Stegostoma tigrinum: one gene and its partners. The main gene of each other region encodes a partner of the protein of the gene in region 2 in a complex. Links are inferred from orthologs where the notes say so. Each region holds a gene or a part of one and is shown on either strand. Other genes may lie near its edges.

Evidence for each region.
Region 1: the proteins of rnaseh2b (region 2) and rnaseh2c are in contact, whole or in part, in a crystal structure (PDB 3PUF), measured with the Homo sapiens proteins. The link is inferred for Stegostoma tigrinum from reciprocal best matches to the Homo sapiens genes RNASEH2B and RNASEH2C. Residues at the interface, in NP_078846.2 of Homo sapiens: Arg14, Gln15, His16, Val17, Phe18, Leu19, Val20, Ser21, Glu22, Leu24, Leu35, Met36, Phe37, Val38, Lys39, Leu52, Glu62, Lys64, Phe66, Glu68, His70, His71, Ser72, Trp73, Phe74, Ile75, Asn76, Gln77, Ser78, Val79; in NP_115569.2 of Homo sapiens: Ile9, His12, Arg13, Val14, His15, Leu16, Ser18, Ala27, Thr28, Leu29, His30, Leu31, Leu32, Pro33, Cys34, Glu35, Val36, Ala37, Val38, Asp39, Gly40, Pro41, Ala42, Pro43, Val44, Gly45, Phe48, Phe63, Val75, Pro77.
Region 3: the proteins of rnaseh2b (region 2) and rnaseh2a are in contact, whole or in part, in a crystal structure (PDB 3PUF), measured with the Homo sapiens proteins. The link is inferred for Stegostoma tigrinum from reciprocal best matches to the Homo sapiens genes RNASEH2B and RNASEH2A. Residues at the interface, in NP_078846.2 of Homo sapiens: His16, Phe18, Lys39, Asn42, Gly48, Ala49, Ile50, Val63, Lys64, Val65, Phe66, Lys67, His70, Phe74, Val79, His86, Phe87, Val183, Tyr211, Gly214, Leu215, Asp218, Tyr219; in NP_006388.2 of Homo sapiens: Val227, Phe228, Ile253, Trp254, Glu255, Ser284, His285, Tyr287, Phe288, Arg291, Gly292, Leu293, Glu294, Ser295, Ala296, Thr297, Ser298, Leu299.

What each region holds. Positions count from the first base shown.
Region 1 is NC_081395.1:3,960,457-3,968,288, reverse strand, and holds the start of rnaseh2c (ribonuclease H2 subunit C), read left to right. Parts: upstream 1-4,800; 5' UTR 4,801-4,872; intron 4,873-6,064; 5' UTR 6,065-6,071; coding exon 6,072-6,222; intron 6,223-6,664; coding exon 6,665-6,777; intron 6,778-7,153; coding exon 7,154-7,273; intron 7,274-7,832.
Region 2 is NC_081365.1:70,976,981-70,985,013, reverse strand, and holds the start of rnaseh2b (ribonuclease H2 subunit B), read left to right. Parts: upstream 1-4,943; 5' UTR 4,944-5,128; coding exon 5,129-5,192; intron 5,193-8,033. UniProt on the Homo sapiens protein: Non catalytic subunit of RNase H2, an endonuclease that specifically degrades the RNA of RNA:DNA hybrids. Participates in DNA replication, possibly by mediating the removal of lagging-strand Okazaki fragment RNA primers during DNA replication.
Region 3 is NC_081388.1:17,345,544-17,353,196, forward strand, and holds the start of rnaseh2a (ribonuclease H2 subunit A), read left to right. Parts: upstream 1-4,565; 5' UTR 4,566-4,681; coding exon 4,682-4,808; intron 4,809-5,403; exon of another isoform or gene 5,404-5,668; coding exon of another isoform or gene 5,669-5,681; intron 5,682-6,051; exon of another isoform or gene 6,052-6,076; intron 6,077-7,653. UniProt on the Homo sapiens protein: Catalytic subunit of RNase HII, an endonuclease that specifically degrades the RNA of RNA:DNA hybrids. Participates in DNA replication, possibly by mediating the removal of lagging-strand Okazaki fragment RNA primers during DNA replication.

The DNA of each region.
Region 1 (7,832 bases), on a different chromosome or scaffold from region 2:
TCTTCGCCGTGGAGGCCTCCAGGATAATGTGACATCGCCTCGGCCCGACATTTTGAGGATTAGCAGATCCTTCTATGCCGGACTGTACGACACGAAGCCCACGGACTGCACGGCCTCCGAGTCGTTCCTGTCGTCTATCACGGAGGTCTTAGACGATGGCACGAGGGAGTGGCTGGACCGGCCGATATCCCTGGACGAGCTGACCAGAGCCCTCAAGTCCTTGGACAGGAATAGGACTCCCGGGAGCGACGGCTTACCGGTCGAGCTGTATTCTGCTCTGTGGGACCTGGTCGACCAGGACCTGCTGGAGGTGTATGATAGTGCGCTTCGGGCGGGGGAAATTTGCAAGTCCATGAGGAAGGGCATCATCACCCTCATTTACAAGAGGAAGGGGGAGAGGGAAGAAATTAAGAATTGGCGTCCCATTTCATTATTGAATGTGGACTACAAAATCCTGGCCAAGGTCATTGCCAACCGGGTCAGGTCTGTCCTGGAGTCAGTGATTCACCCTGACCAAACTTGTGCTGTGCCGGGCAGGAAGATCACTGAGAGCCTCGCACTCATCAGGGATACGATCGCCTACGTGCAGGACAGGCGGGTGGACACCTGCCTCATCAGATTGGACCAGGAGAAGGCCTTCGACAGGGTCTCTCATGCTTACATGAGGGATGTCCTCTCCAAATTGGGGTTCGGGGAGGGCATCCGCAATTGGATCCGGCTGCTCTACGCCAACATCGTTAGCGCAGTCTCGATCAACGGGTGGGAATCGGACAGTTTTCCTGTTAGATCTGAAGTCAGGCAGGGCTGCCCACACTCTCCTGCCTTGTTTGTGTGCTGTGTGGAGCCCTTCGCCGCATCCATCAGGAAGGACATGAGCCTGAAGGGCGTGACTATCCCAGGCAGCGGAGGACTTCAGGTCAAGACCTCCCTGTACATGGACGATGTTGCCGTCTTCTGCACCGATCGGTCGGTGAGTAGACTGTTGGACATCTGCGGCCAGTTTGAACTGGCCTCGGGTGCCAAAGTCAATAGGGGTAAGAGCGAGGTCATGTTCTTCGGGAACTGGGATGACCGCTCCTTCATCCCCTTCACCGTCAGGACAGACTACCTGAAGGTGCTGGATGTTTGGTTTGGTGGAGCTGGGGCGTGCACTAAGACTTGGGAGGATTGTATCACCAAACTGAAGCAGAAGCTGGGCAGGTGGACGCTCCGGTCCCTCTCCATCGCGGGTAAGAACCTGGTTGTCAGGTGCGAGGGGGCTTTTGGTACTGTTATATATGGCGCAGGCCTGGCCTATTCCCTGGGCCTGCGCCGCTGCGGTCACCCGGGCCATCTTCCACTTCATTTGGGGGTCGAGGATGGACCGGGTCCACAGGGACACCATGTACAAAGACCTGGGAAATAGGGGAAAGGGCGTACCGAACGCCACCCTCGCCCTGACGGCTACCTTTGTGTGCAGCTGCATCAAGCTGTGCGTAGATCCTCAGTACGCAAACACCAAGTGTCACTACTTACTGAGGTTCTACCTGTCCCCGGTGTTGTGAAGGATGGGCCTGGCCTTGTTGCCGTGGAACGCTCTGAGTAGTTGGACCATTCCGTACCACCTGTCCTTCGTGGAGACATTTTTGAAAGGAAACACCTTTGACCACAAGGCCGTCAGGCAGTGGTCTGCACGTAGTATCCTCAGGACCCTTCGGGAAAAGGAGAGGGTGGATCCCGTCGTGTAGTTCCCCACGCAGACTGCCAAAGTCATTTGGCAGAATGCCTCATCGCCAGAACTTTCAAACAAGCACAAGGACATTGCTTGGCTGGCGGTGAGAGGGGCTCTGCCAGTGAGATCCTTTATGCATGCCCGGAATCTCTGCACCACCGCACGCTGCCCTCGAGGTGGCTGCGGGGGGGACAAGACTGTCGACCACCTCCTTCTGGAGTGTGCCTATGCGCAGGAGGTCTGGAGGGGGATGCAGTGGTATTTGTCGAGGTTCGTCCCAAGCAGCTCCGTGACGCGTGACTCCGTGCTCTACGGGCTGTTTCCCGGGACGCACACCGAGACCAACATCAACTGCGCCTGGAGGACCATCAATGCAGTGAAAGATGCTCTTTGGTCTGCCCGCAACTTTCTGGTCTGCCAGCTGAAAGAACTGACCCCGACCGAGTGTTGCAGACTGGCGCACTCCAAGGTCCAGGACTACGTGCTGAGAGACGCGCTAAAGCTTGGGGCAGCCGCCGCCAAGGCGCGGTGGGGAAAGACCATGGTATGAAACCCCTCGTCCAGAATAGGAAAAAGGGCCCTATCCTGTACCTGGGCCCAGCTGGTGCCTTCCCCAACTGGTCAGGGGGCCAACGGGGACTGTGCGGGGTGACAACCGCCGGGGTATTTTCTTTGCTTTGGTTTTTTTCTTCTTTGTTTTTTTTCCTTTAGTTGGTGTATGTACCCCCTGGGTATCCCGAAGCAGCTTGCATGACTGGGTAGGTGTATAAATATGTTTTATTTTTTGTACATTTTATGAATAAAGCATATTTTTTCAAATAAAAAAAAGTGACGAAATGTCTGAAAACGTACCTTCCAGCTCAGCGAGCAAACTCACATCCAGAGCCTCAACCTGAGCTACAAATCTTCTCAAAACTCGCTATTACCTGGCTCTCTGGATTAACAGTTCAGCGATAATACCACAAGGCCATCACCCCGCTTCCCCCCTAATTTAAGGTACACCCACAACACTGTCACAGAGTCAGATAATGCAGAAACAGACACTTCGGACCATCCAGTCCATGCCAACAATAATCCCAAACGAAACTAGTCCCACCTGCCTCCACTCTTAGCCCATATCCCTCCAAACCTTTCCCGATTCATGTCCTTATCCAAATGCTTTTTAAACGTTGTAACTATCCCCAGATCCACCTCTTCCTCAGGAAGTTCATTCCACACACGACCAATCTCTGCGTAAAAAACATTGCCCATCACATCCTTTTTAAATCTGTCCTCTCTCACCTTAAAAATATGTCCCTTGGTCTTAAAGTCCCCCATCCGAGTGAAGAATCACCTGTCATTCACTTTATCTACACCTCTCATGTTTTATAAATCTCTGTAAGGTCACTCCTCAACCTCCTACACTCCAGTGAGAAGAGCCCCAGCCTATCCAGCCTCTCCTGATAACTCAAATGTACCATTCCCAGCAACATCCTCTTAAATCCCCTCTGAGCCCTCTCCAGATTAAGAAATCCTTTCAACAACTGGGAGACCAGAACCAGACACAGTGCACCAGAAGAGGCTTCACCAACGTCCTGTACATCCTCAGCATGACGTCCCCAACTCCTGTACTCAAAGGTCTGAGCAATAAAGGCAATTGTGCGAAACGCCTTCTTAACCCCCTGTCTACTTCAAATAATGGGGGACCTGAACCCCGAGATTTCTCCATGACCCCTGGGCCTATTTTTATTGGTATAATTCCTGCCCTTATCGGTTTTACCAAAATGCAGTACCTCACGTTTACCAAATGAAACTCCATCTGCCTCTCCTCAGCTCAGTGACCCAATTGGTCAACAGTACTAGAGATAATGGGAACTGCAGATGCTGGAGAATTCCAAGATAATAAAATGTGAGGCTGGATGAACACAGCAGGCCAAGCTGTGTTCATCCAGCCTCACATTTTATGGTCAACAGTACTCTTTGGGTGAAGATGAATTTCTTCACTGTTCATGACACCAAGTTTGATGTCATCAACAAACTTACTAACCATGCGAGGGAGGGAATTCCAGGGATTCTGACCCAGCGACACTGAAGGAACGTGGATATATTCCCAAGTTGGGATGGTGAGGGGTTCGGAGGGGAATGTGCAGGGGGTGCTGTTCCCATGAACCTGCTGCCCCTTGTCCTTCTGGATGGAAGTGGGTGGTGGGTTTGGAAGGTGCTGCCTGAGGGTCTTTGGTGAGTTTCTGCAGAGCACCTTCTGTGTCGCACCCGGTCCCTCAGCACTGACCCTCCGACAGTGCCCTCTCCCTCAGCGCTGACCCTCCGACAGTGCCCTCTCCCTCAGCGCTGACCCTCCGACAGTGCCCGCTCCCTCAGCACTGACCCTCCGACAGTGCCCTCTCCCTCAGCACTGACCCTCCGACAGTGCCCGCTCCCTCAGCGCTGACCCTCCGACAGTGCCCTCTCCCTCAGCACTGACCCTCCGACAGTGCCCGCTCCCTCAGCGCTGACCCTCCGACAGTGCCCTCTCCCTCAGCACTGACCCTCCGACAGTGCCCGCTCCCTCAGCACTGACCCTCCGACAGTGCCCTCTCCCTCAGCGCTGACCCTCCGACTGTGCCCGCTCCCTCAGAACTGACCCTCCGACAGTGCCCGCTCCCTCAGCGCTGACCTCCGACAGTGCCCGCTCCCTCAGCACTGACCCTCCGACAGTGCCCACTCCCTCAGAACTGACCCTCCGACAGTGCCCTCTCCCTCAGCGCTGACCCTCCGACTGTGCCCGCTCCCTCAGCACTGACCCTCTGACAGTGCCCGCTCCCTCAGAACTGACCCTCCGACAGTGCCCGCTCCCTCAGCGCTGACCCTCTGACAGTGCCCGCTCCCTCAGCGCTGACCCTCTGACAGTGCCCGCTCCCTCGGCGCTGACCCTCTGACAGCGCCCCCTCCCTCAGCACTGACCCTCCGACAGTGCCCGCTCCCTCAGCACTGACCCTCCGACAGTGCCCGCTCCCTCAGCGCTGACCCTGAGCCGGTGACGATGGGGATGAACTACAACTCCCAGAGCACCCCGCGGCCCCCAACAGTCATTTCGCGAGTGTCTTCCGTTTTGTTAGTTGCCACGTGACAGCGGTCAGAGGGCAGGAGGAGAGTGAGGCGGGACCGCGGGACACAAGCCTCGGGTGGGAATGGAGGGAGGATTAGACCGGGGATGGGAGCACAGGGCTGGGGGAGGAATGAGAGGGTTTCGAGGAGTGATGGCGGGGGGGAGGAGTGATGGCGGGGGGGAGGAGTGATGGCGGGGGGGAGGGGTGAAGAGGGTGGGGGGGTGAAGAGGGTGGGGGGGTGAAGAGGGTGGGGGGGTGAAGAGGGTGGGGGGGTGAAGAGGGTGGGGGGGGTGAAGAGGGTGGGGGGGTGAAGAGGGTGGGGGGGGGAGGGGAGGGGTGAAGAGGGTGGGGGGGGGAGGGGAGGGGTGAAGAGGGTGGGGGGGGGAGGGGAGGGGTGAAGAGGGTGGGGGGGGGAGGGGAGGGGTGAAGAGGGTGGGGGGGGAGGGGAGGGGTGAAGAGGGTGGGGGGGGTGAAGAGGGTGGGGGGGGGTGAAGAGGGTGGGGGGGGGTGAAGAGGGTGGGGGGGGGTGAAGAGGGTGGGGGGGGGTGAAGAGGGAGGGGTGAAGAGGGTGGGGTGGGGGAGGGGTGAAGAGGGTGGGGTGGGGGAGGGGTGAAGAGGGTGGGGTGGGGGAGGGGTGAAGAGGGTGGGGTGGGGGAGGGGTGAAGAGGGGGGGGTGGGGGAGGGGGTGAAGAGGGGGGGGTGAAGAGGGTGGGGGGGGGGGAGGGGTGAAGAGGGTGGGGGGGGTGAAGGAGGAGGAGGGGGGGGGTGAAGGAGGAGGAGGGGGGGGAGTGTTGGGGGGTGAAGGAGGAGGAGGGGGGGAGTGTTGGGGGGTGAAGGAGGAGGGGGAGAAGGGGGGGGGAGGAGGGGGGAGAGGGAGTGTTGGGGTGGGAGGGAGTGTTGTGGGGGGGAATGTTGGAGGGGGGTGAGGGGAAGAGTGTGTGGGGTGGAGTGGTGGGGGTGGAGTTGGGTGGTGAGGGGGTGAGATGTGGGTGGGGAATGTATGGTGAGAGGGGGGTTGCGAGTGGGGGAGAGGTACAGCGGGTGGGGGGTTGGGGATGGGTGGTGAGTCGGGTGGAGGTAGAGGGAGGTGGGGATGTGGTGAGAGGTGGGTGGGGGTTTTGGGATGGGAGGTGAGTGGGGGAGAGGTAGAGGTGGGGGAATGGGTGCGGGGGCGGAGATGGGGATGAACTGCCTGCTGTGCCTCGCAGATGTTTCGCTGCCGGTTTTACTTGCTGTTGATTAATGAGGTCCCTCTGATTCCCTACAGGAAGGCAATGGCGGCCGACTCAGTGATCACTGTGGATCTGAGTTCCCTGAAGTTCTCCGCCAGGGACCAGCTTCACTTGTTGCCTGTTGCTATCGAATCTGACGGCAGTGCCAAAGTGGAGCAGTACTTCAGCCCAGCTGTGCGGCACAGAGATGGGGGTAAGGCTTTGGCTGATTGCTCAACCTGGAGGGTTGCACCCATGACCACAACTCCAAGCAAACTCATCCAGCACAGCATTCAGGCCATTCTGCCCATCCAACCTGTGTAGATTTTCTGAATGATCTCTCTCATTCTTCCCTGCTGGTTCCCCTCCTTTTGAAAGTTCCTGTTGAATCTGCTTGCTCCCCCCCCCCCCCCCACCCTTTCAGGCAACACACCCCAGATCAGAACTCACTGCTTCAAGTAAAATATTCTCCTCATCTCTCCCCCCACCCCTTCCTTCAGGGTCTTTTCCCTCCATTTTCTTTGATCTGTATCTCTCTAGTGACCTATCCAAGATAGCAGACCTGTTCCAGGTGTAACCCAGCAACAGGGATGGGCCAAGGCAGGGACGTGCAGGCTATCGTTGGACATATAAAAAAAAAGGTAAATTTCTCTCAGAGTTGCAGGTGTCCTATCGAGGCCGAGCCTTGCAAGGTCGGGATCTTCCTGTGCCCCCTGGATATGTTGGACTTGTTCTGAAAGAGGACCATAAACCGTGCCTGGAGGAGGAGGTGAGACAGCACTCAATATTCAACTGTGAGCGCTCACCCGAGTCTAGGAACATCACCCAGTGGTGGAAGTTACATTCCTTTACAGCCTCCAACAGCACAGCGCTCCCTCGCTGCCAACCCTCCGACAGCATGGCGCTCCCTCAATGTTTACCTGTTGGTTGGCTCCAGTTACGTGGCTCATGTTCCTGAGGTGTACTGAAGCTGTGACCTCTAACTGAGAGGTGCCTATTTGTTAATGCAGGGTGACCTGCGCTGTTGGTGGCAATGTTTTGCTGGAAATGCTCCCTGCTCCTCATCAGGGCCAATATCTTTCCAAAATGACAACCTAAATATCATTCAATGAAATGTCACTTAAAACTTTTACTGTGATTTGCAGGACCGGAACGTCAGTGTTAAATCATCTTTCTCTTCAGTGACTTACTGGAACCTGGGATCTCCCCCAGCAGAAGACGACAGCGTGGTCATGGCGATGGGCTGGACTCAGATTGCAGAAGCTGTAAATCATTTATTACTTTAATCCCTTCAAACCGGTATCAACTTTCAGAACTTCAAACACGGAGACTCACTCCTGAGTCCCAAAACCCTAGGGAAGGAGCAAAGGCTGAATGGGTTAAATAGTGAGGGTGAGATGCACAGACAGGACACATTCCCTCGAGAGGCAGGGGTTAGAATGTGATCCATTGAGGGGTTTATGATGATTGAAGAATTCAGTTGTACCCGTAGAGAAGTCTTTGGTTTCCCTCTGGTTCAGCCCAAGCTGCAGAATCTTCCCCTTTAAAGTCAGCAGGTATGACGTCCCTTCTAGGGGTGAATGGCTTCTTGTTTCTATGTAGCAGGCAAGAGAAGAGGCTAAGGTTTTCCTCCCATTTCTGTGACCAGCAGGAGCACTGATATCTCAATTTTTAATATACTTCTAATTGACCTGTTCAGAAATGTTATTCAACATCTCTGGAGCAGATGGGACTTCAACCCCAAGTCACCTGGCTCAGAGTTAAGAACACTACACCTGTTCCACAGGGAACCCAACTGCCTTTCTCTGTCTTTGCCCTAACTGA
Region 2 (8,033 bases):
CCTTCTCATCAAGTCTGTTTTGATTGGAACAAATTTTTGCTGAGTATTATGAAATATCTGCTTAAATGTCTGTCAATGCTTATCCACTGACTTGCCCATTTTGTCAATTTTAGATAACTTTTGCTTCATATATCTGTCAGTATTCTTGTTTAACTTGTGTAACACTCCCTCAAACTAAATTTGAAATTCTTCTATTTTGAGATAGTTATGGATCCTAGAGGGGATAACAATGAGATCAGTTATTAATCACATCTCATTATACATTATTAGACCTAAACAGGCCTGTTCCCAAATAGCTTCAGTGATGTATAGTTCTGAGAAACAATCCCTGATGCACTGTTCAAATTCATCACAGAATTTTGGGCCCCATATCTCAGGAAGGATGTACTGGTGCTGGAGCAGGTTCAGAGGAGGTTCACGAGAATGGTCCCAGGAATGAAAAGTTTAACATATGAGGAACGTTTGAGGACTCTGGGACTATACTCATTGGAGTTTAGAAGGATGAGGGACGATATAATTGAAACTTACAGAATACTGAACGGTCTGGACAGAGTGCATAGTGGGAAGATGTGGAAGAGACTAGGACTTGAGGGTACAGCCTTAGAGTAAAGGGAAGACCCTTTAGAACGGAGATAAGAAGAAACTTCTTCAGCCAGAAAGTGGTGAATCTATGGAATTCATTGCCACAGAAGGCTGTGGAGGTCAGGTCATTGAGTACATTTAAGACTGAGACAGATATGTTCTTGATTATCAAGGGGATCAAGGGTTACGGGGAGAAAACAGGAGAATGGGGCTGGGGACTTATCAGCCATGATTGAGTGGTGGAGCAGACTCAATGAACTGAATGGCCTAATTTCTGCCCTACGTCTTATTTCTTGTCTTATGTCTTAATTTTTACAGCACAGAAGGAGACCATTCAGCCCATTGTGCCTGCACTCTTCAAATTAGCATCATTACAAGTGTCAATCTCCTGCTTTATCCCCAGATCCTTGCAGACTATTTCTATCCAGGTAATCATCCATGCCCTCCTGAACACCTCAATTTAACCTGTCTTCACCACATTTCCAGGCAGTGCGTTCTATACCCTTACTACTCACTGCGTGAAAAAAGATTTTTCTCACATTGCACTTGCTTCTTTTGTACATCACTGTTAATTTGTGCCATCCTGTCCTTTCTCTTTTTATGAGCAGGAACAGCTCTTCTCCCTATCTACTCTATCCAGCCCACTCGTGATTTTGAAACCCTCTGTCAAATCTCGTCTCACCCTTCTTCTCCCCAAGGAAACTGGTCCCAACTTCTTCAGTCTGTCCTCATAACTGAAGTTTCTCATTCCTGGAACCATTCTTGTACATCACTCCCGGACTCTCTCTAATGCATTTGCTTCTTTTCTAGAGTGTGGTGCTCACAACTGTACCTAATAGTCCAGTTGAGGTCTAAGTCGTGTGTTGCACAAGTTCACATCACCTCCCTGCTCTTGTACACTCTGGCCCCATTAATAGAGCTGAGAACACTGTATGCCTTATTACGTTCTCCCTCTACCTGTCCTGTCACCATTAGTGATCTGTATATAAATACACCCAGGCCCCTCTGCTTTTACCCTGTCTTTAGAATTATACCTCATATTTATGACATCTTTCAATATTCTTTCTACCAAAGTGCCTCACCTCACACTTCTCTGCATTGATCCTCATCTGCTATTCATCCACCAACTTGCCAATGTCCTTTTGGATACCACACTGTCCTCACACTTTATAATTCCCCCACATTTTATGTCATCTGAAAACTTTGAAATTGTCCTCTACACACCAAGATCCAAACCATTAATACATATCAGAAAAAGCAAAGCTCCCAGTACTGACCCTTGCAGACTTCCAGTACAAACCTCCCTCCAGTCAGATAAATATCCATTGACTACCACTGTATTTACTATCACTCAGCCAAGTTTTTATCCATTTTACTACATACCATGACATATAATTTTCCTCATATGTCTCTTGTGTGGCACTGTGTCAAACGCCTTCTGGGAATCCATGTACATCGCACCAGTGTTATCTTCCTCGAGCCTGAATGTTACTTCTACAAAAAAACTCCAGCAGGTTAATTAAACATACCTTCCCTTTAAAAATGTATGCTGATTCTACGGAATCAACCCACCGTTTTTCAAGTGACTACTAATGTTATCCAAATTAATTGTTTCTCGAGGCTTCTCCACCATTAAATTTTTGGCCTGTATTTGCTAGGATTATCTCCACAACTTTACTTGAACAAGTCTAATATTTGAACTGAAACAAAAATTGTTGGAAATCACAGCAGATCAGGCAGCATTTACAGAGAGACAGCAAGCTCATTTTTCAAGTTTAGGTGACTCTTCATCAAAGCTGACATGAAGTCTGGAGGATCAGCATTTATGGAATAGTTGGGGAGAGAGGGTGTGCAGTGCTGGGGAGAAAGGATGTTGATAGAGCAGGTTAAGTGATCGGAATGTGAGAATGACAGAATAATGGTGTGTCTGACTGCCAGACTGGGAAGAACAGAGATAATGGGAACTGCAGATGCTGGAGAATCCGAGATCACAAAATGTGGAGCTGAATGAACACAGCAGGCCAAGCAGCATCTCAGGAGCACAAAAGGTGACGTTTCAGGCCTAGACCCTTCATCAGAAAAGACTGGGAAGAACAGACTGTTCTAGTGGGTGGAGGGAGGGGAGAGAGGACGTGGTGACTGAGAATGTAACAAGCAAAGCTAAAGGAAAGGGAAGGAATGGGAGTGGGATATTTATAATATTTGCAATTCTGGCACCACCCCTGAATCCACAAAAGACGGAAAGATTATGGCCAGAATTCATCTTCCATGTTACGTTTTCCCATCTGATTTTCCTAGTTAATATGAGCCAAGTTAATTGTAATGCCCTTATTACACATTTCCGCTATGTTCCAACTTATACTTAGTCCTGCAATGAGTTAACTCCCAGCTGTGACTTCTATCCTTTGTTTTTCCTTATTTCCACTCAAACTGACTCCGAAACACAATCCAGTGCATCCATTCCACAGAGATTTGAAGTGTCATTTTATATTCCCTACAGTGTGGAAACAGGCCCTTCGACCCAACAAGTCCACACCCCCCCTTGAAGTATCCCACCCAGACCCATCCCCCTAGAACCCACACACCCCTGAACACTACGGGCAATTTAGCATGGCCAATCCACCTAGCCTGCACATCTTTGGACTGTGGGAGGAAACCGGTGCACCGAGGAAACACACGCAGACACGGGGAGAATGTGCAAACTCCGCACAGACACAGACAGTCACCCGGGCCTGGAATCGAACCCTGGTCCCTGGCGCTGTGAGGCTGCAGTGCTAACCACTGAGCCAACGTGCCGCCCCAGACTCGAAACTTTAGCTCGGTTTCTCTGTCCGCAAATGCTGCCAGATCAGTTGAGTTTCTCCAGTGTTATCCATGTATGTTTCAGATTTTCCAGTATCTGCAGTATTTTGCTTTCATTCGTTGATTTCTATTTGTGCTGTCCACTCATCTGTGTTTTGACAAATGCTGCGTCCATTCAGATAAAGATAACGGTTGACTTTTTAACCATTGTTACTTACGCTGATTTTAATATATGTCCCACACTCTGCTTATATTTTCTATCCCTCCCTATCACAGATTGATTATCGCTTGCATCTTCACGACCCTGCACCTCTTATTTGTTCTTTTTTAAGTTATAAAACTTCCCCGCAATTGAACCCTCCCACCTAATAAACCCCCCCTCCCAATAAACAACTGCACCTCCCAGTCGCAAACCATTTCCACTCCCCCTCCCATTCTTTAGATGACATGTCCATCATGGGCCTCCTGCAGTGCCACAATGATGCCACCCGAAGGTTGCAGGAACAGCAACTCATATTCCGCTTGGGAACCCTGCAGCCCAATGGTATCAATGTGGACTTTACCAGCTTCAAAATCTCCCCTTCCCCCACTGCATCCCAAAACCAGCCCAGTTCGTCCCCTCCCCCCAGTGCATCCCCAAACCAGCCCAGCCTGTCTCTGCCTCCCTAACCTCTTCTTCCTCTCACCCATCCCTTCCTCCCACCCCAAGCCACACCTCCATTTCCTACCTACCACCTCATCCCGCCCCCTTGACCTGTCCGTCTTCCCTGGACTGACCTATCCCCTCCCTACCTCACCACCTATACTCTCCTCTCCACCTATCTTCTTTTCTCTCCATCTTCAGTCCGCCTCCCCCTCTCTCCCTATTTATTCCAGAACCCTCTCCCCATCCCCCTCTCTGATGAAGGGTCTAAGCCCGCGTCAGCTTTTGTGCTCCTGAGATGCTGCGTGGCCTGCTGTGTTCATCCAGCTTCACACTTTATTACCTCCCATCTACTGATTGGTTTAAACAAGCAATCCTAGTTCTTCGATTCGTCGGGACACCATACATATCAATGGACGGAGGAGCTTTTATTAAGATTTAACTTAAATAATGTAAAGGGGGAGGATTGTGAAAATCCTGAGGCTTAAAGTGCAAAACCTCTGTAGCTACTAACTTGCACATTCCATAGATCAATAATCAGAATCATTCATTAATTGCTACACAATTTGTTGACAGCTTATTTTTTCCCTTGCGCTGCTCCTCCGATAACCCAATGAGCTTTGCACTGTCAACACAGTGTGGAGAGTGAGGAACGCAGAATACTTGGGGTATTGTTGTAAAGAGGAGCAGGACAGTTGACCGGGGTCCGGACCTGACTTGGGACTCCAGCATCTGCAGTTCTTGCTATAACTGGAGTTTTGCCCTGTCCGGTGTTTTGGGTGCAGGGCTCCTTTAATTAGGATTGTACCATCCCATGCACAGGAGAGGGGGCGCGCGTTTTCATTCAATTCCCATCGTCGCTGGCTCTTTGATGGTTTAACTCCACAATAAGACCAACGCTGTGGTATACATTTTTAAAGCCTCTCTGCCTCCCTGCTGGCCAGGAGTGTCTGTTTTTTTTAATAACTGTGCTGGGTGCTTTCCCTCCTCCCCCTCGCTCTGCTGTGTGAAGAGCTGGGGTAGGTTGGCGCCATTCAATGTGAGGAAGGGGAGCTGTAACATTGTGTCACTGAATAGATACCCAGCTTGGCGAGGTCTGCCATGCCTAGCAAGCGGAACTCAAAGGAGGACTCACACTCTGACCAGTGGGTGATGTTGGTACAAGGTAATCGCAAAATGGCGTTGGCTGGACTGCAAGGTTTTAATCAGTTGGTAGCACTGTCTCCTCAGATCCTGGTCCTGAGCTCAAATCCCACCCCAGAGATTTGGTCACAAAATCCTGAGGGAGCGCTGTGTTTTCGGGCCCCTGCCGCCCTCTCCGGGAAACACAAATAAAACCTCAGAGTCACAGCAGGCGTACATTCTCCCTGGTGTCTTGTCCAATCTCTCTTAAAAATAGGCTTGCGGTACTTATCTCGTTGCTGTTTATGGGATCTTGCTGTGTGGCAATTGGCTGCCAAGTTCTCTTCACTGCAATGGTGGCTACATTTCCAAAGGTGCATCATTAGTCGCAAAGACAACTAGAGATGGGGAAAGGTCCTGTATAAATGCAAATACTTTCTGTATTTTCAATTAGGAGATTTTCAGTAAGCGTGTTGGTTTGGTTTCCTGTCTTGTTTTTTGGCATATGTAGTTAAAGACGCTCCTTGTGCCAAGTCTCTGCAGATTACAGCATGAATTCTGACTGTTTTACATAATATGTACAATCCTAGAGTCTAGAACAGCGTGAGGATCGGAGGGAGTGAATGCCTGTTTTTCTAGGGGTGAAGGAACTGAATGTGCCACCTTGATCCAATATTTTCTGCAAATGACTCTGATCCAGGACATTGAGGAACAGATTCATTCCTCTGAAACCAGGGAACTTGAAAATGTGAAATATTTAACATTTTCATGTTAAGTTCTTATAAGTACCAAAAAACTGCTAAGTGTTTTACTATATCTGAAGGACATTGATTTTTATGCATTATCACGCAGTCCCTAAATGAAGGTATTGAAATATATTGTTTCTCCTAAATATACATTTGTTCATCAATTATAATGTGTTTCAAGATTACAGAATTTAAACACAACTGCAACATGAGAAATTTATATAAATATAAAGAAAAGACTTATGTAGCAGAACAGGAATGTCTAAACAATAGTGTAGTCACTGGCAAAATCAAGTTGAATAGTAGTAATGCTGCAAAGTATTGTATAAACTGAAAGTTTCGTGATGAGTAAAGGTCCTCATCAGCTCCTGTGTAATCATATGCCTGTGGCAGACTCCTTAGCAGATGATGTTTTGCACTGTAAGCCTCTCCTAGTATGCTGACACACAGTTTAATCTGGAATTGCAAAGTCATGCAGTTTACATTAGGTATTGGATGTGATTTTCAGAGGGAGTGAATATTTATTTAGTTTAATTCATTCTTGGGAGGGCTGGAATTTATTGTCCATCCTTTAATTGCTCTTGAAGAGGTGGTAAACCATCTTCATTTGTTTCTTGGTAGCAACTTAATACATTAGCTTGCTTGGGAAATTGATACCACATTGCCAATATTGCTGCAGTCATATACATTGATTGTAGATTTTATGTATTTTTTACACAAAGGTGTAAAGCCAGTTTTGAGGAACAGCTGGTTGTTGTCAATTCTGAACTTTTCACGTTTCCAAATTGGATTAATTCCAGAGTAGTAAATTGAACTTTTTTTGAGGAAATAATCAAGAAGTTTGATAAGGGCATTGTAGACATTGTTTACTTGGACTTAAGTAAAACATTAGACAGGGTTCCACGTGGCAGACTAATGAGTAAAGTAACATCATGTAGGATTCAGGATGAGCTTGCCAATTGGGTACAAACTTTGCTTAATAACAGCAGACAGACAGTGATGGTGCAAGGTTATTTTTCAGACTGGAGGCCTGTGACCAGCGATGTTCCGTAGGGATTGGTGCCGGCTCCAGTTTTGTTTACTGTTTATACAAATGATTTAGATGAGAATATAGAAGGCATGGTTAGTAAGTTTGCAGATGATGCCAAAATTGATGGTATAGTGGACAGCGAAGAACGTTACCTAAGATTACAAAGAGGTCTTGACCAGTTCGGTGAATGGGCTGAAGAGTAGCCGATGGAGTTTAATTTGGATAAATGTGAAGTATTGCATTTTTGTAAAAGAAACAAGGGCAGAACTTATGCAATGAAAAGTTGGGCCTTGGGTATTGTTGTAGAGTGGAGAGACCAGGGAGTTCAGAGATATAATTCTTTGAAATTTGCATTACATCTAGATAGGGTGGTTAAGAAGGCATTTAGCACGCTTGCCTTCATTGCTCAGACCTTTGAGTATAGGTGTTGGGATGCTGTGTTAGGACGCTCTGCTAGGATTGTACATGATATTCGTTGGGCCTTTTCTGGAGTACTGTGTCCAGCATTGGTCGTCCTGTTATAGAAAGGAAATTATTAAGCTGAAGATCATTCAGAAAAGATTTACTAGAATTCACCAGGAATGGAGAGTTTGAGTTGTAAGGAGAGGTTGGATAGGCTGGCACATTTTTCACTGGAGTGTAGGAGGTTGAAGGGTAACCTTTTATAGATGGAAGTTTGTAAAATCATGAGAGGTATAGATAAGGTGAATGGCAGGTGTCTTTGCGTAGGATGGGGAATTCAAAAAAGACGTGAGGGGCAGTTTTTTTTTAACAGAGTGGTTCGTGTGTGCAGTGAACTTCTAGAGGAAGTGGTGGATGTGGGTACAGTTATGATGCTTGAAGGATATTTAGATAAGTACGTAAATAAGAAATGTTTGGGGGGGATAAGGGCCAAGCACAGGCACAAGCAGTTGGCCTAGACTGGTTGGACTGAAGTTTCTGTTTCTGTGGTGTGCAACTCTATGAAGCACTCAGTATGCCTTCAGCAGGGATGCTTTATTGTTCTCTGATAACGGTGCAGATTGTGTTTTGATTTTGTTGCTCCTGTCCTGCTGTACAGGAAGCAACTGGCACTGTTTTAATTTTCAAAAAATTCGCATGCAGGACG
Region 3 (7,653 bases), on a different chromosome or scaffold from region 2:
TGAATTGTGGCAAACACTTGAGAAACAACAGCTGCCAGTATGTTTCTTGTTGTAAAGAAGCATGCTGGCATTGTTAGGGAATACTAACTTAAAGACGAAGTACAGTCTTGAAGAATTGGGCCTGTATGGGTTAGAATAAGGTCTATCTACAAACCCAGGCCGTAGTTTTATTTATAATTACTTTTCAAGGAAACAGCTTACTCTTACTTGTGACCTTTCACAATTCGAAAGAAATTGAAGTCACACTTTTCAATGTGCAATCATTGTTGTAATGCAGGGATTCAAGTCAGTCAATTTGTGCACAGTTTTTCGTCATAAGGAGCAGGTATCATGCACACAGTGGATATTGTCCCTGTCTCTGAGTCAGAAGTGTATGAGTCATAATACAGGACATGATAGCCAAGAAAAGCATTCATGATGTGGCCAAACAGGTTTATTATCAAATAAAATCAAAATACTGCAGATGTTGAAAATCTTAAACAAAAGCAAAAACTGTTGGAGAAACTCAAGAGTTCTGGCAGAATATGTGGGGATGGAAACAGTTCTAACATTTGGAGTCCAATATGACTCTTCTTTGGACAGAAGAACAGATTGCTGTTGGACCTGATATTGTTGAGTATCATCCTGAAAATCCTTCCAACACACACAAATGATAGGCTGGAAGAATGGGATTCTTGGTTAGCTGTGTAATGGAAAGAACCTTGAAGTTTCTACCATCTATACCTAACGTCCAGAGTGCAACATGAATATTGTCATAGCAAGTGGAACTCCCTGAGTAAGCTGTAATGCAGCACCTTTGCACACACCATAAACACCAATAATGACCTGATAAAAACCAAGAGAACTGTGGATGCTATAAATCAGGAACAAAAACAAAGTTGTTGGAAAAGCTCAGCAGGTCTGGCAGCATCTGTGGAGGAGAAAACAGAGTTAATGTTTTCGGTCCAGTGACCTTTCCTCTGTTCTGAGGAAGGGTCACCGGACCCGAAACGTTAACTCTGTCTTCTCCTTCACAGATGCTGCCAGATCCACTGAACTTTTCCAGCAACTTTGTGTTTGTGAATAATAACCTGATGTTAACAATGAGGGATAACAATGGGAGAATACCCCTGATCTTCTTCAACTTGATGCCACGTCATCTTTTATGACCTGATGATAAGACAGATAGACCCTTAACTGGTTTAACATTTCATCTGAAAATTGTCACCTGCAACACCGAAGCACTCCTTCAGTACTGCACTGGAATGGCAATCTGGATTACGAGCTCAAATCTGGAGTGCATTTTGAGCTCTTGATATTCTATTTCAAAGGCATTTGAGTTCACCACTGGGCTGCAGAGGTAGTGCTGGAGGATCCAATCCCTGGAATTGGGAATTCTACTCATGGTATTTTTCTTTAGCTTCTAGTCATCTTACATCAATAAAAAGGTTAGGTAGAGATGGTAGAAGCTTCAAGGTTCTTTCCATTACACAGCTAACAAAGAATTTCTCTCATTCTTTCAGCCTGTCATTTGTGTTTGTTGGAAGAATTTTCAGGCTGATACTCAATTATGTGCTGATGTTCACTCTTCCATGTCCATGTTACACACAAGGAAAAAATGTTTGTTCCTGATTTTAACCATCATTGTGCTCTGAGTTGGAGGGCAACATTAGGAAATACTCAAAAGATTTAGTTAAAGTAAGTTTTGATGCTTGATCCTCAGTTGATGGCACTCTATGATCTCGAATTTCTAAAGGAAAACAAGTTATGTATTTTCTCATCACCAGTGCAACATTGTTGGAAAGAAAATGAAAAATCCTGTTTGCTTTGATAAATAAGGTTAAAGGGTTCATTTGGAGCTATATCGCCTTTCCTTCACTGTTGCTGGGTCAAAAATCCTAGAACTCCCCTTTAACAGCATTGTAGGTGGATCTGCACACCTTGAATTGCAGCAATTTGCTGGCAACTTAACATCACCTTCTCTGGAAAAATAGGGAAGGGCAATAAACATTGGCCAAGCCAGCTATGCCTACATCGCATGAATGAATTAAAAAAAAAACCTTTTGATGCAGTTTCAAAGGTAGAAAATAAGAGGCAGCAGAGTATGGTGTTTTGCCGCTTTATATTGTTTCGAAACTCTATACACAATTATTTTTGACAGATAATGTGATTAGTTAGGCAGCTATTTTGTCTTGGTAATATCCTATAAAATCTTGAATCTATTTGTTGCATTATGTTTAAAATATCTCAAAAGTGTCTCATCCAACAAAACACCGAAACCAGGCCTCATCAGCAAAATATTGCACTAGATGACCAAAAGCTAGGCTTTAAGATAACAAAGTGTGGAGCTGGACGAACACAGCAGGCCAAGCAGCATCTTAGGAGCACAAAAGCTGACGTTTCGGGGCTTTAACAGTTGTCTTAAAGAAGAAGAGGTGAGGACATTGGGGGGGGGGGGGGGGCATGGGGCTGAGGAATCAACAGTTGATGGAAAAGAGTGAAAGGCATACATGGATTGTGGGGTAAGGGAGTGGTATTAGGTCTAAATCAGTTGCAGAGATCCAAAGGAATGAGATCATGATGGGAGGTGAGTGTGATTCTGAACATTTTTAGTAACAAGTAGTCTGCAGACTGGATGGCAGTAAAAACCAGCGTTTGAATGTAACATCACATTAGTTAGGATATGGGTAGCAGAGAAACTTAAATTTGTGGATGGTAGAAAATGGTGGACCATCTACAGCATTGGAATAGCCAAGTTTGAAATACAAAGAGCAAATGCATGAACAGTTAATTAGCTTGGTATACAGTTTAAGGAAAATGTTGGCTGAGTCACTGGGAGCCTTGCTTCCTGCTCTTTGAACAGCGTAAAGACACTTCAGTCAACATCCATCTGAAAAGGCCGACATGTTGCTCCCATGGTAACTGTGAGGTAGTTGATTTTATTGCAGATAAAAATAAAGCAATATGCTGAAAATCTGAAATGAAACGGAAATGCAGAGAGGGCTTATCAGCATTTGAAAGGGGAATCTGGGCTAATATTTCAGGTGGAATAATTCATAAGAACATTTGAAGTTCAGAGAACCTTAAAATGAGATCAAGGGCAAATCCTGGATATGAAAAAGCATCACTTGATATCATATAAATATACATAACACAATCCAATGTTGAGTTCATTATTATGTGAGCCCTGTAAGCTATTTTATTGTTGGAGGACTATTTCCAATTTCAATACTTAACACAAAGGCAATGCAAAATGAATGGTCGACTGGCTGATCGCTTCACAGAACATCTGTGTTCTGCTTGCAAAAATGACTGTGTCCTTCCAATTGCCTGCCACCCTAACCCCCGGCTGACATCTGTCTCAGATATAAAACAGTGTGGAGCTGGAGGAACACTGACGGTCAGACAGGCAGCGTCAGAGATGCAGGAAAGTTGACATTTCAGGTCGAATCATTTCTGAAGAAGGGTCCCAACCCAAAAGGTCAACATTCGTGCTCCTCTGATGCTGCCTGGCCTACTGTGTTCCTCCAGATCCACACGGTGTTGTCTCGGAGTCCAGCATCTGCAGTTCTTGCTATCTCTCTCACAGGCTTGCTGCAGTCCTCCAGCAAAGCTCAGCACAAGCTGGGAGAATAACAAGAGATGATGAGAACTGCAGATGCTGCAGAATCCAAGATAACAAAGTGTGGAGCTGGATGAACTCATCAGGCCAAGCAGCACTTTAGGAGCATAAAAGCTGACATTTTGGGTCTAGAACCTGATGAAGTCATTCACCCTCCCAACCAGATCGTTATCAACTCCTTTATCCCTGTCCTCTTCCCTTTATCCTATTATTTACACCCTCTACCCCATAGCCCTCCCTGTTCTCTGCCCTTTATCCTATTATTAACACCCTCTACCCCATAGCCCTGTCCTCTGCCCTTTATCCTATTATTAACACCCTCTACCCCATAGCCCTCCCTGTCCTCTGCCCTTTATCCTATTATTTACACCCTCTACCCGGGAACTGCAGATGCTGGAGAATCCAAGATAATAAAATGTGAGGCTGGATGAACACAGCAGGCCAAGCAACATCTCAGGAGCACAAAAGCTGACGTTTCGGGCCTAAACGTTCTAGGCCTGAAACGTCAGCTTTTGTGCTCCTGAGATGCTGCTTGGCCTGCTGTGTTCATCCAGCCTCACATTTTATTATCTTTTTCCTAGCTACCATCAGTTAAGAGGAAGGGTCACCGGCCCCCAAACATTAACTTGATTTTTTTTCCTTCAGACCTGCTGAGCTTCTCCAGCAACGTCTGCCTTTGTTCCTGATTTACAGCATCCACACTTCTTTCGGTTTTTAATCGCTATTTAAAACGAAATTTGGTTCTGAGTCTTTAAAACTACAACTCCCAGGGGGTTTTGCGCAGAACTGCACATGCGCACCCAGTTAGTGACGAGCAGAACACCAAACGAAATCAAAATTTAAATTTGTGAAAATAGAGCTTTCTGTAAATGCTCAGTGTGGAACTTGTTGTATCTTTCAACAGCATGATTTTTAAAATAAAAACAAAACTGAGTGAAGTGGCGTTCAGGATGGCATCAGAGGTCAAAGGGCAGGTTGCCGCTGAGCGCGGGAGAGATTAGTTTGGCGGTTGCTCTCGAGACATTTAAAAGCGCAGCCATTGTTCTATTTAAGATTGGCGGTTGTTGTTATAATTTTGCAATGGACCTGAGCGAGTTTCAGGAGGACAGCAGTAAAAGTTACCGGCTGGTATCAAAGGTGCCCGCCGCCTGTCGGACTGAAGATTGCTGCCTGGGCATCGATGAAGCGGGAAGGGGACCGGTGCTGGGTGAGAGGCGGGGTATTTGGTTGGGGGAGGGGCGAGGATGGTGTGGAGGAGGGGCAGGGTGTCCTGTCCAGGGCCCTGAGTGTGTGTGTGTGTGTGTGTGTGTGTGGGGCTTGGGGTTTGTAGGGGCGGGTCTAGTGGGTCGAAGGCGTTGGCTTGTGGGGGCGGGTCTGGGAGATGGGGCTTGTGGAGTAGTTCTTGGTGGAGATGGTGCGCTGCTGATCTGTGGTGGCGGGATGTGGGAAGAAGCCTGGATTTGAATCGGGGAGGGGTGGGAAGGTGGGTGCGTGAGTAATGGTTGGATTGGGGGAGTGTGAGAAGGGGAGGGGAAAGCAGAGGGACAAGGAATTTGGGGGAGATCTGGGTCTGTGGGGAGGGACTAATACAGGGAGGGTGGCAAGGACTAAGGGGAATTGGGGAGTGGTTGGGACTGGGTGAATCGGGTAGTGGTATAGCTGTGAATGGCAGGGGTTGGTCAGTAGTTAAGGGGAAGGGTTGAGTTGAGTGGTGGTCTCGGAGAGGAGGAAGGCCTGGTTGAATAACTGGGGGAAGGCCTAAGATTGGGGATGAGGGGTGAGGGAGGGGCTAACTGATTGGGTAAGTGGGTGTAGGTCTGGCTTAAGAGGCCAGGATTAGGCAAACGGAGGAGAGGGTAGGGCGAGTGCTGGGTCAATAATGGAGGCCTGGGGAAAGCCCAAAGGAACAAAGGGGGAGGATCAATTTGAGTGTGGCTGTAGTGGTGGGAAAAGGGTTGGTGAGGGCTGGGCAAATGTGGAGGGGGAGATGGTTAGTTCTGAATGAATAATGGAGGGAAAGGGGGTGTGACCTAGAGGAAATGGCTTCAGGTGCCTCAGTCTTTGATCATGATATCTGCCTGTAAGGATACTGATACTCCTGCTTGCACTGCTGCAAAACTTGTACTGAATATTTATAGACATCACCTCAAGATCCTGGAGAGTTAACGAAATCAACTGAAACAGGAGCTTGATTCGAACATTCAGTTTGTTTAGCAAATGTAGTATTCGAAATGTATCATCTACTTCAAATTTAACAGCTTCTGCCAAAAAATTGCAGCTAATTTAAGATTAGCACAATTCATGCTGCAAGATCAACTGACTTCTTGAGCCAATAAATCTGTCAGAAAATTCTCTTTTGTTAGTTGCTAACAACATTGAAAACGCTGTTCCACTTTGGGGCTTTCCTGTTGAAGTGGAAACGTTTGCCTATTACTTTGTACTGCCAAATAGAAAAGAATAGACAAGAGATTAACAGTAATTAGCAACAATTTATTGCTCTCTTTGAACAATTGCACTGTTTTATTTTGTTTTTAGATTGTTCTAAAGTCATTTACTGCTTGGTGCATTTAATGAGTTAGGTGGTGGAATAAAATGACTAATAATGCTTGTTAATTACCTTGCCAATGATATTCAGCTTTTTTTCACACCCCTGCTCCAGACCAGTGGTGCAGGTATGCGCTGAAAATATTTGACAACCTTTTTCCTTGCTGATGTGCTCATGGTAGGGAATGTCTAAGGAGAGGGCCTTAGAACACAAAGAATGGGAGGGAGAGTTGAAATGGTTCTCGAACTCCACCCTCACCCCCATCCCAGACCCCAAGAAGACTTTACACATCAAGCAGATGTTCACCTGCACTTCTGGCAATGTGGCATACTGCATCTGCTGTACCCTACAAGCCCCTACATCAGGGAAACCAGGCAGAGGCTTGGGGACCGCTTTGCAGAACACCTCCTCTCGGTTTGCAATAAACAACTGCACCTCCCAGTCGTGAACCATTTCAACTCCCCCTCCCATTCCTTAGATGACATGCCCATCCTGGGCATCCTGCAGTGCCATAACGATGCCACCCGAAGGTTGCAGGAACAGCAACTCCTATTCCGCTTGGGAACCCTGCAGCCTAATGGTATCAATGTGGATTTTGCAAGCTTCAAAATCTCCCCTCCCCCCACTGCATCCCGAAACCAGTCCAGCTCATCCCCGCTCCCTAAACTGTTCTTCCTCTCACCTATTCCCTCCCACCTCAAGCTGCACCTCCATTTCCTACTTACTAACCTCATCCCGCCCCCTTGACTTGTCCGTCCTCCCTGGACTGACCTATCCCCTCCCTACATCCCTACCTACACTCACCTCTACAGGCTCCATCCCCACCCCTTTAACTTGTCTGTCTCCTCTCCACCAATCTTCCCCTCTATCCATCTTCGATCCGCCTCCCCCTCTCTCCCTATTTATTTCAGAAACCCCTTCCCCTCCCCCCTTTCTGATGAAGGGTCTAGGTCTGAAACGTCAGCTTTTGTGCTCTTAAGACGCTGCTTGGCCTGCTGTGTTTATCCAGCTCCACACTTTGTTACCTCAAAGTCTTTCATTGGTTAGTCCACATGTTGAAATAACACCAATTTATTTTAAATGCAGCAGGGTTAGTTTCAAAATCTAGACAAGTGTCTTGTGTATAATCTGGATTAATTAAACTAGGAGAAACTGTTGTTCCCAGATGATACGTTTAAGATAATTGACAAATGAACTAAGGAGAAGGTGAGAAATGTTTTCATGCAGCAGGTTGTTATGATCGGGGATGTGCTGACTACGTGGTGGAAGCAGATTCAGTCATAACTTTCCAAATGGGTGTTGGATAGATAGTTGGAAAAGCAACATTTTCTGGATTATGGGAAAATAGCAAGCGAGTGGAATTAATTACAGAGCAATTTTTAAGAACAGGCTGAGGTACAAGGAGGCAAATGAGACTTGCTGCATTTTATAGTAGGAAAGAAAACCAGTACCCCACATAGCTGTTTACCAAGCAGTACAACAAAGGCCTGACAATAGGTGGCATCTC